Tribolium castaneum: one gene and its partners. The protein of the gene in region 1 purifies or fractionates together with the protein of each later gene. This does not show direct contact. Links are inferred from orthologs where the notes say so. Each region holds a gene or a part of one and is shown on either strand. Other genes may lie near its edges. The genes, in order: numb, spdo and AP-2alpha.

Evidence for each region.
Region 2: the proteins of numb (region 1) and spdo purify together in Drosophila melanogaster (affinity purification with western blotting; 6 studies listed by BioGRID). This does not show direct contact. The link is inferred for Tribolium castaneum from reciprocal best matches to the Drosophila melanogaster genes numb and spdo.
Region 3: the proteins of numb (region 1) and AP-2alpha purify together in Drosophila melanogaster (affinity purification with western blotting; 5 studies listed by BioGRID). This does not show direct contact. The link is inferred for Tribolium castaneum from reciprocal best matches to the Drosophila melanogaster genes numb and AP-2alpha.

The regions. Positions count from the first base shown.
Region 1 is NC_087395.1:16,788,899-16,792,553, forward strand, and holds part of numb (protein numb), read right to left. Parts: intron 2,272-3,655; coding exon 2,038-2,271; intron 1-2,037.
Region 2 is NC_087396.1:11,694,598-11,698,248, forward strand, and holds spdo (uncharacterized protein spdo), read left to right. Parts: upstream 1-1,279; 5' UTR 1,280-1,734; coding exon 1,735-2,710; intron 2,711-2,757; coding exon 2,758-2,990; 3' UTR 2,991-3,113; downstream 3,114-3,651.
Region 3 is NC_087403.1:6,346,491-6,350,591, forward strand, and holds the end of AP-2alpha (AP-2 complex subunit alpha), read left to right. Parts: intron 1-334; coding exon 335-488; intron 489-540; coding exon 541-897; intron 898-944; coding exon 945-1,077; intron 1,078-1,123; coding exon 1,124-1,779; intron 1,780-1,831; coding exon 1,832-2,245; intron 2,246-2,290; coding exon 2,291-2,498; intron 2,499-2,551; coding exon 2,552-2,629; 3' UTR 2,630-3,455; downstream 3,456-4,101. UniProt on the Drosophila melanogaster protein: Adaptins are components of the adapter complexes which link clathrin to receptors in coated vesicles. Clathrin-associated protein complexes are believed to interact with the cytoplasmic tails of membrane proteins, leading to their selection and concentration.

The DNA of each region.
Region 1 (3,655 bases):
AATCCACTCCAATCCAAAACAGTGACTACGTCCTATTTTTCCCAAGCCGATAAAACTCAAAGTTGTGATTTCTAATGGAAAAAAGCGCTACTCTATTTTGGAAGATTCCCAAAATTGAAAGACAAAATTCCAAATCATTGTCCCTTACTATTTTTAATTGATACCAGAAAAATTCATTTTGATCAAAAAGATGAGATCTTCCAGTAATAATTTTTGTTAATTTTTTGTTAAGACAACGGCCATTAGACCTCAAAAATACGAAAAAAATGCACTAAAATACTCCTCCATAACCCTCTTATAGCCCTAGTATGTATCTTTGTAAATTTAATTTTTCTTAAACCATCTAAAGAGGCACTGGAGAACGTTAGATTCCACAATGAGCTTCAAAATTTTGCGCATAACTGATTAAGTGCCAAAAAACTTTTGTAAAGAAAAGGATGGCGTATGTGCATAGAGGTAGAAAAAAAATTCGTAAAAAATAGTTTAAAAAGTTTTCGTAAAATTTTATTTCACTAAAAAGTTATAAACAAATTCCGGTTTATATTTAACTCCCCTCGTACTATAAAAAATAACTTAAAAGATTCTCTACTTGTGTCGGTAATTTTTTTCAAAATAAGAAGCAGAAGCTGCATAATAAAGTTGAAGAAGCAAAAAAATATTAATACAAATTATAACAATTATAAAACGAAAATTCTCAAAAAAATTCAGATGTAGATACGTCTCTTCAAAGTCCCCACTTTATTATTCATTTTCTATTGATCTAACAAGATAACTCTATGTTTTCTTTATGAGAAACATAAAATATAAATGTCCAATAATAAAAAATAGACAAGATACGTATTAAAAATAATAATTACATCTCGTAATAATAGGTAGGTAAATGTTGGCACAATGGATATATACAAGAGACAATGAAAAAACACGAGAGGATATCTATGATTTCAAATTCTCGTACTACCACAAGGTGCATCAAGGACCATATGTAGAAATATCATCTTAAAAATTTCACATCTGAACAGAGAAATAGTAAAAAAACAACACACAGTGCAAACTGTGTGATTAAAAATAACAACATAAAAAATAATCTAGACAAAGCGTTATTATTAATTAAAAAAATGAAAGATATAAATTCTCGAATTTGGAGCTACAAAAGCTACAGACCAAGAAATTCTCTATTATTTCTCTATTTACTTAGTAACAAACAAAAAAAAGATCGGCAAAAGTTTTAAAAAATATCGAGCTGCAAAATAGCGTTAAAGAAGCCAAAAAATATCAGAAATATCAGCTTGAAATTACTAAATTCACAAAAATACACAAAAGAAAAAAACTTGAATTCAGAAATACCAGTTTAAAAAATTCTCAAGATATCAACAAAGCATACAAGAATTTTGTTGCTTAAAAAACTTTTCGAAGTAACAATAAAACACACAAAAAATAAGAAAAATTATGGAATCAGTTATGGGAGGAGAAACTATCCAAAGCTCAACTTCAAAAATCTCTACATTTGCAATAATTATGAAGGATCAGAGGAAGAAATAATTATTTGTTGAATTTAAAAAATAGATAGTATATCGGATTACAAAAGAGAGTTGGGAGCACTAAGAATGTATGCAGAATTGCAGAACAGTTTAAAAATGTCTTTGCAACGAAACATAAAAAGCGTAAGAAAAAAATCGACAATGAAAAAGTACCTACAAACTTTTCGAAATATTGGCGAAAGACAGTTGAAAAAATTAAAAAAAAAACAGAAATATCAACTCCTTCAAAAAAATATAAAAAAATGTAGGAAAGAAATTCGTAAAAGAATTCAAAAATCAAACTGTAACAAACAACAGTTAGGAAAGAAAATCCAAAAATAACATCTTAATATTACATTAACAAAAAAAAATAGACTTACAAAAAAACCCAAATCGTAATAAAAAAAATTAATTGGCACCTCTTAACATTTGTGCGAAATACTTAAAAAAAAAGTATACAAAAAAACAGTGACTTTAACAAGCAATTTTCAGAAAATGCTTTTATTTTCTGTCAACTTACTCGAAGCACTTTGAGGGCCTCCTCACACACTTGCATTCCCCTCGATTCGAAAACTTCAACACAGCCTAAATATTTCACAGCGAAAGTGCAAGTTCCGGACCTGACAGCTGATTCATCCGCTTGCCATTGATGAGGTTTGGAACTTTCAGGGACACGATCCTTTCGTCGCCGAAAGGAATCCCTGAAGGACCTCCTTAACCTATCCATTTTCCGAGGAGAACGTAGACTTCGCCTCTGAAATAAATCGAACCCATAAATATTTCGCATAAAGCGGCTGGAAAAATTTATTACACATGCATGTTACATAAGCTGAAAAAACAGGATGGCTAATTTCGTTTGCAAATATTATATGAGCAAACAAATACGGACGCAGTCAAGTCTTATTTTAGCGCAACATCTGATTTTTGATTCGGATAAATTGTTATTAGATAATCGCTTGCACACATAACTCAGAACGATTTTTTCCCATGATACCGCAATAATGGGAAAATGTAACCAAATAAAGCAGCGACTGCCGTTACACCAAGATAAATCGAGTCAAGTTGGCAAAAAGACATCAATAACCAAACACCGGAAGTGAGTGACATCTGGATATCGTATGAATGATTGCGGAAGAAAACGGAATTCAAAATAAAATATTTTAGAATTGATAAACGAGTTGAAAATCCTCTCGAAACTTTATCACCGAGATTCGAGCCATTCATCGCTTTTATCACCTTGTGCGATTATTCCATTGATAAAGTGAACTATCAATTAATTCAGCACTTTCACAAAACTCAATTACTGTAATTAAAACGTAAATAAATGGCGAGACTAAATTAATTAAACATTTAAACTCGAAACAATACGCGTGTTACTTCAAACTGAAACACCCTGTATGTGAAGTTCATTAATAATGAACCACATGCGAAATGATCAGCACATATGGCTGATAATTTATCGCTGATAAAACAAATATTTATTGAGACAAAACGATAGCTCCGATGTGAGAATATTAAAACTGTGTTAATTCACAAACCAGCTGTGATTGTTTTCCTAGTCAGAAAAATTCCCCCATAAAGTTATTTAAAAATCAATTTTGATTAATCATTTAACCAATTACGTTTTGCGTCAGATTCAATCGAAATGTGTTTCTCGAATTACCGGTTCAACCACGTGGTGCGGCTCTCAATAAAAATTTTCTTTAATTATTCAGAAAAAAGCACAGTTCTGTGCAAGGTTATTGCGTCACGACCCGTTAGAATTAATATGCACAACACCAAAGCCAAGATGCCAAGAAATCGAAGTCCTTGAAGGCGCAAAAGTGGGGCTCCTTGCTAGGAAAATCAGCCCGAATTTGGCTGCTAGGGGTTGGTTTGATGTCTTAATTTTGGTTAATCCAAGGTTAAAAACCGGTTAAGTTAATTAAATGCATGGGCGATTTCGCACAATGGCGACAAGGTCTCGCTTCTTGTTTGGCATTTCTCGTAATAATTCAAGTCAACGACTTCTGAAATTTAGTTGCATCCGTAATTTGACACTAAATCGTTCGAAAATGAAATCATTTTTGTGGAATTTGTGAATCATCGAGCAGTGAATATGCAAGAGGCCGATTTTTGATGTCATGTTTCGTCCAGTG
Region 2 (3,651 bases), on another chromosome or scaffold:
TCTTTTACCGGAAATCCCACACAAATTTGTGCGGATCTTCGTATCGCAAACGGAGAACAGTTATAAAAATAGCACATTTTAGTTTCTTCATTAAAATGAGAACTAATATTAATAAGAACTACAAATTCAAACACTGGAACGGAATTGATGTTTGACAAATTAAAAAAACAAGGCATTTCCGAAAGTGTGTCGACGTTTTCAGGACAACTTACAAAGATGTAAAAAAAATTTTTCTAAAACGTCCTGGGGACAACCTTAACTTTCTTCAAAGCTTGAGTTTGCGTTCAAATTAATTCTCACGCAGACGAAACGTTTTCGTGTCTGTTTTTAGAAGCTAGATAAACATTGTAATCAGAAGGTCCGACGTAAATATAGCCCACTATTTTACCAACTATCAATACCTACGTAATGGTTTTATTTTATACCGCTTTAGGACCCTTTTTTGTGTTGGCAGAAGGTGAAACAACTATAAAGAATTATGTATTCTCAAGTTTGTAAGCGGAAATCTCGGCGGAAATTGGTATTTTCGGATGAAAAAAATCTTGACGTCACTTCCAGCGAAATTGGGAACTTAATTAATTTTACCCATTTTCCAAACTAATCTCTGGCTAAATTTAGCATCCATTTTGCATAAACAGCGAATCATAATTTATCTTAAGCACCAATCATAAAACTAATTGAAGCATTGCTCAAATACTTGTCGATATATTAAAGCACGTGAAAACAAGTTTGCAACTTATTATTTATTTTATGAATAAAGTGTCGCTTGGCATGCACTTTCAGTGATATCCGAGTTGAAAAAGCGAGTTGCATCACTTTAATTTTCTCTTTACATCCACGCACTTAAGACTTTTCTTTTTTCCTCGTTAATTGTCATGCATTTCAGAATCCCGAAGTAATGTGATATTAAACATTATGTATAATGACCCTTGAGAATATGCAAGACATCCGTTGAACGGTACGTTGGGCTTCATGTGGAATATATAATTAAATAGAATACACTCAACCAGTTATTTGTTGACATTTGAGAACACTTGGGATTTGTGCCATGTATCATGAATAAACCGGCAAAACGGAAATAGTGAATTCAAATTTCATTTCCGATGCAAGATAAGCGCGCACCAGCGAGAAAAAATGAACCCGTCTAGTCCTCTAATCTTCCACATTGACTGTTCTATTGGTTTGGCTTCCTTCGACTTATCATAACTAAACAGTTTGATTGTGGAATGTATATACAGATGTACGATCAAAATATCAACAAAGAAAACGGCGCACAATTCCACAAAATGGGTTTGTGTGGCGGAGCGTGCCGTCAGTGGCGTAACAACATTTCTCAACTTTTATCAAATTAAACCGCTCCAAAACTCCTCGTTTTTCTTTCACCACCGGTGACTTTATGCGGAAAAATGTCGGTACCGTAAGACTTTTCTCCACCGTGTACTTATCGCGTTTATGACCCAAATAAACCAAATACGATTCATCATTAAAAAATCATTTAGTCCGAAAAGACGTGATCGTCTTATTAAATGTATGCCCTTGGGAGGGCTTGAAACCGGCGGCACGCCCATGGAATTCACCCCACATGACGCGAGGCATATGCAGCTGTTTGATAAGTACGTCCCCCATGCTGCCGTTACGCTGCAAGCTCTTTAACAACCACCAGGCGACCAGTCATCACCGGGCCGTGCCCCAAACGACTACAAATGACGGTTGCGAGCGCATTTCGACTTTAAAATGGCCACGCGAACCCTTCCGAAAAACTTCTACTCGAACCCGGCCTTCAGCCAACAAAGTGAATTTTACAACGGAAAACCGCTCTCCCAAATCGTCCAAAACGTGCGCCAGTCGCCCGTCGGGGCGCAAACCCAGCCCCAGTACCGCGAAAACGAAGAATACTACGATGAAGAATTCTACGAAGAAATGATCGTCGACGATGCTGGAATCATCAAGCAGAAGAAAGTCCTAGTCGTATCCTCGCCCACCAAGGACCAAAAGTCCCGGTACGAGTACATCCCCATGCAGGAGCAAAACCGCTACATCATCTGCCAAAAACAACCGCCGCAAGTGCACTACGCCGAAGAGTTCGTCCAAGGCAGGCCCAACCACCGCTACGAGTACATCCCGGAGGAGTCCCCGCCAAAATCCGTTACCCGGAACCGTTACGAATACATCCAGTTCGAACCGCCAAGTCCCCGGAAACCCTCCAACCCCATCGCGACCCAAAAGCTCCACGAGCTCCTCTCAACCCCCAAAAAGCCCCCCGTAATGTCCCCCCAAGCCCACCGAAGAGTCCCTCCATCCCCCCAGCGGGACCCCTTCATAACGCCGCGCAAAAGCCAAACCCGCCAAAAACTAAACTACGCCCTCGACACGCGCCAAGCGCAGGACAAGCGCCACACGGCCATCGTGGCCCCCATGTGCTCCAGCCCCATCCAGAGCGTCTACAGCGAGACCACGTTCTCCAAAACCGACTCTTGGATGAACTTAGGGCCGAGGAAACCGACCCAAGTGACGCTGGCCGTGGCCGCGGTGATGATGATGCTCTGCGGGGGGGTCACCTCGGGGCTGTGCTTCTACATGGTGTCCATCATGGGCCGGCTGTATTTCCTGGATTTCGGGATTGTGGCAGGGTTCACTTGTCTGGTGTTGGGGTTTTTGGGGTTCCGGACGCGGAATTGTTACTGGCTGCCCAACCGGAATTACATTTCCGGTAAGTCGGCTTTTGGTTTGTTATTTTTTGTAATGGGATTGTTGCAGGGTATATCGTTTTGAGTGTGTTTAGTCTTCTGATGTGTGCCGGGCTTCTGGTGCTGCTTGTGCTGCAGCCCAAGCCCGGCACGCCTCTCGCGGATATGACTTCCGGTGCCGTTTGCGGGATTTCCGTTTTGTCTCTAGTGTTGGCATCTGCAGGAGTCATGACGAGTTATTGTTGCAAATATCCGCCACCTGACAACAGGGTGGAGCACAGCGTCCCAGGATTCACGGTTTAAAACCACTTATTTATTTTATAGTAATATAATTATTATGGTTTATATTATTTAATGACTGGAAATTGTAAATATTATTTATTGTAGGTATTGATTGTTTTTATCTAATAAACGGTTTTATAACAATGTAAGTGGCTTTATTTATTGGACCGTTCGATACGCGGCGAAATTGTCAAGCTTTATAGCTTTGTGCCAAATTCCGATCAAGTAATTTAACTTTTTCGTAAGTGAGCTGAAATTAATGGACTTTTTTAGTTACTTTCATTTAACAGTAAATACGATTTTTGTACGTCTTTATATATCAAATCCGAACAAGTTATTCAGCAATTAGAAATTTTAATGTCTTTGTAAGCTTCATGACAGGAGCATTTATTAGTGAATGTCGGACACGCTAGCACAAAAAATTCTTAATTTATTTCACCTCGGCAAGAAGAGTAAAGACACATTTTCAAAACGTTAAATTACATTTTAATTAAAATTAAAACAAACAATTATTAAATTTATTTAGTAGAAAGTGTGCGCACTTTCAAGGTGTGGGAGTGCATTAACGAAAGTGTAAATGTATTCATAACTAATTTACGCTAACAGCACAGCACAAAACAAAAACTGCATTGTACGCTGTCCTCAAACCTAACTAGTTCAAGATTTTTCAAAAATAAAACTC
Region 3 (4,101 bases), on another chromosome or scaffold:
GAATCGTTTAGTTAAGAAGGACGCTTCACAAATCTTAAACTTAATTTTCGACGGAATATCTGTTTTTTTTTAGATTTATAGACAATTTAATGGATTAGATGACTTTAATTGCAATTTTGAAAAGAAAAACGTCTAAGTCAACAATTTTTATGTAAAAAAAATTCAGTACTTAAAGGGAAGAAATAAAATAAAAACACTGCTAAAACTAAATGTATATGGTTTGGCGTTTGTCATAATTTTCTTCTTAACAATTGTTAAGGGACCGTGGTTGAAACTTGATTCATTTTTTCACTTTTTTTTGTTACACTTGCTCCAAAGTTTTATGAATTCTTAGCTGAAGACCCGGGGGTGCGCGGCCGCTTGAACGAATGCCTAGAAACGATATTGAATAAAGCGCAGGAGCCTCCAAAATCGAAGAAAGTGCAACACTCAAATGCTAAAAATGCCGTACTGTTCGAGGCCATTAGTTTAATTATTCACAATGACAGGTATATTTATTTATTTTGAAATTTGAAAAGTCTCATTTTGTTATGTATACAGCGAAGCGAATTTGTTGGTGCGTGCTTGTAACCAGTTGGGCCAATTTTTGAGTAATAGAGAAACAAATTTACGTTATTTGGCTTTGGAGTCGATGTGTCATTTAGCAACGTCTGAATTTTCCCACGAGGCTGTTAAGAAACATCAGGAAGTTGTTATCTTGTCGATGAAGATGGAAAAAGATGTTTCAGTGAGGCAACAAGCCGTTGATTTGTTGTACGCTATGTGTGATAAGAGCAATGCTGAGGAAATCGTCCAAGAAATGTTGAATTATTTGGAAACGGCTGATTACTCAATTAGGGAAGAAATGGTCCTAAAAGTTGCGATTTTGGCCGAGAAATACGCCACGGATTACACTTGGTAAACCAAGCCTGATTTTCGTAACACTTTTTTACGTTTTTTGTCAGGTATGTTGATGTTATTTTAAATTTGATAAGAATCGCTGGCGATTATGTGTCGGAAGAGGTGTGGTATCGAGTGATCCAAATCGTTATCAACCGAGATGAAGTGCAAGGTTACGCCGCTAAAACTGTCTTTGAAGTAGGTCTCATTTGAGTCCATAATTCAGCTAACAATTTTTTTGAAGGCTTTGCAAGCACCCGCCTGTCACGAGAACATGGTCAAAGTCGGGGGTTACATCCTGGGAGAGTTTGGCAATTTAATCGCCGGGGATCAGAGATCCTCACCCTCAGTTCAATTCCAACTTCTCCACTCAAAATACCACTTATGTTCGCCGATGACTCGAGCTTTGTTACTCTCGACTTACATCAAATTCATCAATTTGTTCCCCGAAATACGGACTCAAGTACAGGAAGTTTTCAAACAGCACAGCAACCTGAGGTCGGCTGACGCCGAATTGCAACAACGAGCTTCGGAATATTTGCAATTGAGTATTATTGCAAGTTCGGACGTTTTGGCCACAGTATTGGAGGAAATGCCGGCGTTCCCCGAACGAGAGAGCTCGATTCTTGCTGTTTTGAAGAAGAAAAAACCAGGACGGGTCCCAGAAAATGAAATTAAGGAGAACAAAAGTCCCACACCTGTGACCAACCACAACAACGATGTAAATAACAGCAGTGCTGTCTCTGGCGATTTGTTGGGTCTGTCGACTCCGCCAACAGCGCAGCCCAACTCCGGAAACACCGGGGTGCTCCTGGACGTCCTTGGGGACATCTACGGGGGCAAACAGGCGAACAACTCGAACAGTGCCACTCAACCGGTCAACATGTACAACCCCAAGAAGTAAAAACGTTGTTTGCACCCGGTGGTAATTATTTGAATCGTGTTCTTTCAGGTTCGTGTGTAAAAACAACGGCGTTTTATTCGAAAGTGACTTGATCCAGATAGGCGTTAAAAGCGAGTTCCGCCAGAATTTGGGCCGACTTGGCTTGTTTTACGGAAATAAGACTAACGTTCCGTTGCAAAATTTCGTCCCGACCTTGTCTTGGCCCGACGATCAGGCTTCCAAGCTCACCATTCAGATGAAGCCTGTTGAGCCGGTCCTGGAAGCTGGTGCTCAAATCCAACAGATGATCAACGCGGAGTGTGTCGATGACTACACGGGCGCCCCCAGCATAGTGCTCAGTTTCCTGTATCTCAACGTGCCCCAGAAAATAACGATCAAACTTCCATTGACGATTAACAAGTTCTTTGAACCGACTGAAATGAACGGCGAATCCTTCTTCGCAAGGTGGAAAAACCTCGGAAGGTAATTTCCGGGACGCAGTGAGCAGGGTCTGATTGTTTGTTGCAGTACGAACCAGCAAAGATCTCAGAAGATATTTAGGGCGACACAGCAGATGGACTTGCAAGCCGCGCGAACAAAAATAATGGGATTCGGGATGCAACTCCTGGACGGGATTGATCCAAATCCGGATAATTTCGTCTGTGCTGGGATTATCCACATGCGGTCGCAGCAAGTCGGATGTCTTCTTCGTTTAGAGCCGAACAAGAGTGCACAAGTAAGTGGTTCCCGCGGCTTTGAATTTCGTAACTGTTTTCTTTTTTTTGGCAGATGTACAGACTGACGGTGCGCTCTAGTAAAGAAAGCGTCTCGATAGAAATTTGTGATCTTCTAGCGGATCAATTTTAATTAATTTAGAAAATTGTGTAAGTAAGAGTGCATTCCATAGTAGACTTACCTTATTGTTTAAAAATTAATATATTGAAATTTGCACAGACATGCGCTCTTTTTTCGTTTGAGATTCGCTTACAGTAAAATATTAGAAAGAGGATGTTCTTTGAGACAATATGTAAGTGTGTGACGTTAGTGTTGCTTGTTGACAGTTAATTTATAGAGATATGAATTTTTTGCTGAATTCATAACATTAGACCTCTATTCGGAAGAAAAGGGTCCATTGCGGAAAATTAAATGTACAATAAACGTTTTTTGTTGAGACAGATCTGCTGCACTCGAATTAAACCAAAAACTAAGGTGGGTCAAACGATCTTCTTGAATGTATATTAAAAATTCAATATGAAATAAAACTATATCATTAGAGACGTGTAACTTGTGTTATATTGTTATATCATACCAGAGGATGGTCGACGAGTTGGTAATGAATCGTTCTTCAGATGAGGAGTTTATTGAAACAGTTGACTTTCTACTGTCCTCAGATATATTTTTTACCATTTATTACAATAACTGATTACGTTGTGTAGTATGCCTTGAATTATTATTTGTATATGTTGATTGTATAAATAAGTAAAATATTGATTTAGTAATACAAACTCTTTGCAATTCCATTTTTGTATTCCTATTTTTTATATCATCTACAAAGTGCATGATACTTTATGTAAAAATAATATTGTGTAATATATGAATTCAAAGCTAAAGTTGTTGTAACATTATATGCGATTATTTAACATTTTTGTGTTTCTGTTGTATTGATGCTTCAATTACAAAAAATCACCGTCAACATTTTTCATTACTAACCCGACTAATTTTTCCATCCGAACTGATATTTAGGTAACGTCTTTACCTCAGTTCTTATACCACTATTTTACGCATGACTTCATGCCCATCATTCGGACATCAGCGGTTAAAAAATTTAAACAAAAGCGCTTCCTTCTCATTTCAACCCAAGGTAAGTAAAACATGAAGTCACCATTACGGGTTCACTTGCACCAATCCATTGATTGCACTTGATAATGGAAGTGTCGTAACATCCTGAATTTTTAAATGGTCGAAGGTTGGACCAATTTATTGTAATGCGGCTTTTTGCAAACAAGGACAATTTTATAAGTGACTGTTCCGGTCTATCTGTTGCCCATAAAATGCGTTCGATAACATAATGAGCGATTTTTTCGCTCGTAACGTAAATTCAACTGGAGGAAACTACTTTTATGCAAAGAAAAAACCAAAACGGTAAGTGCATAATAAATTTTTTTACCTGAATGACGGCGAACTACCGGTTCAGTGGCGGGTATAATAATAGTTTACGAACTCAGAATTATAAAATACATCAAATTAAGTTGTGCAAGATCACTAGCTTATCTTTCAGCAATGAATAATAATTCGCACGGAACACTAACTCGAGAGTAACAAAAATCAAGAACCTCTTA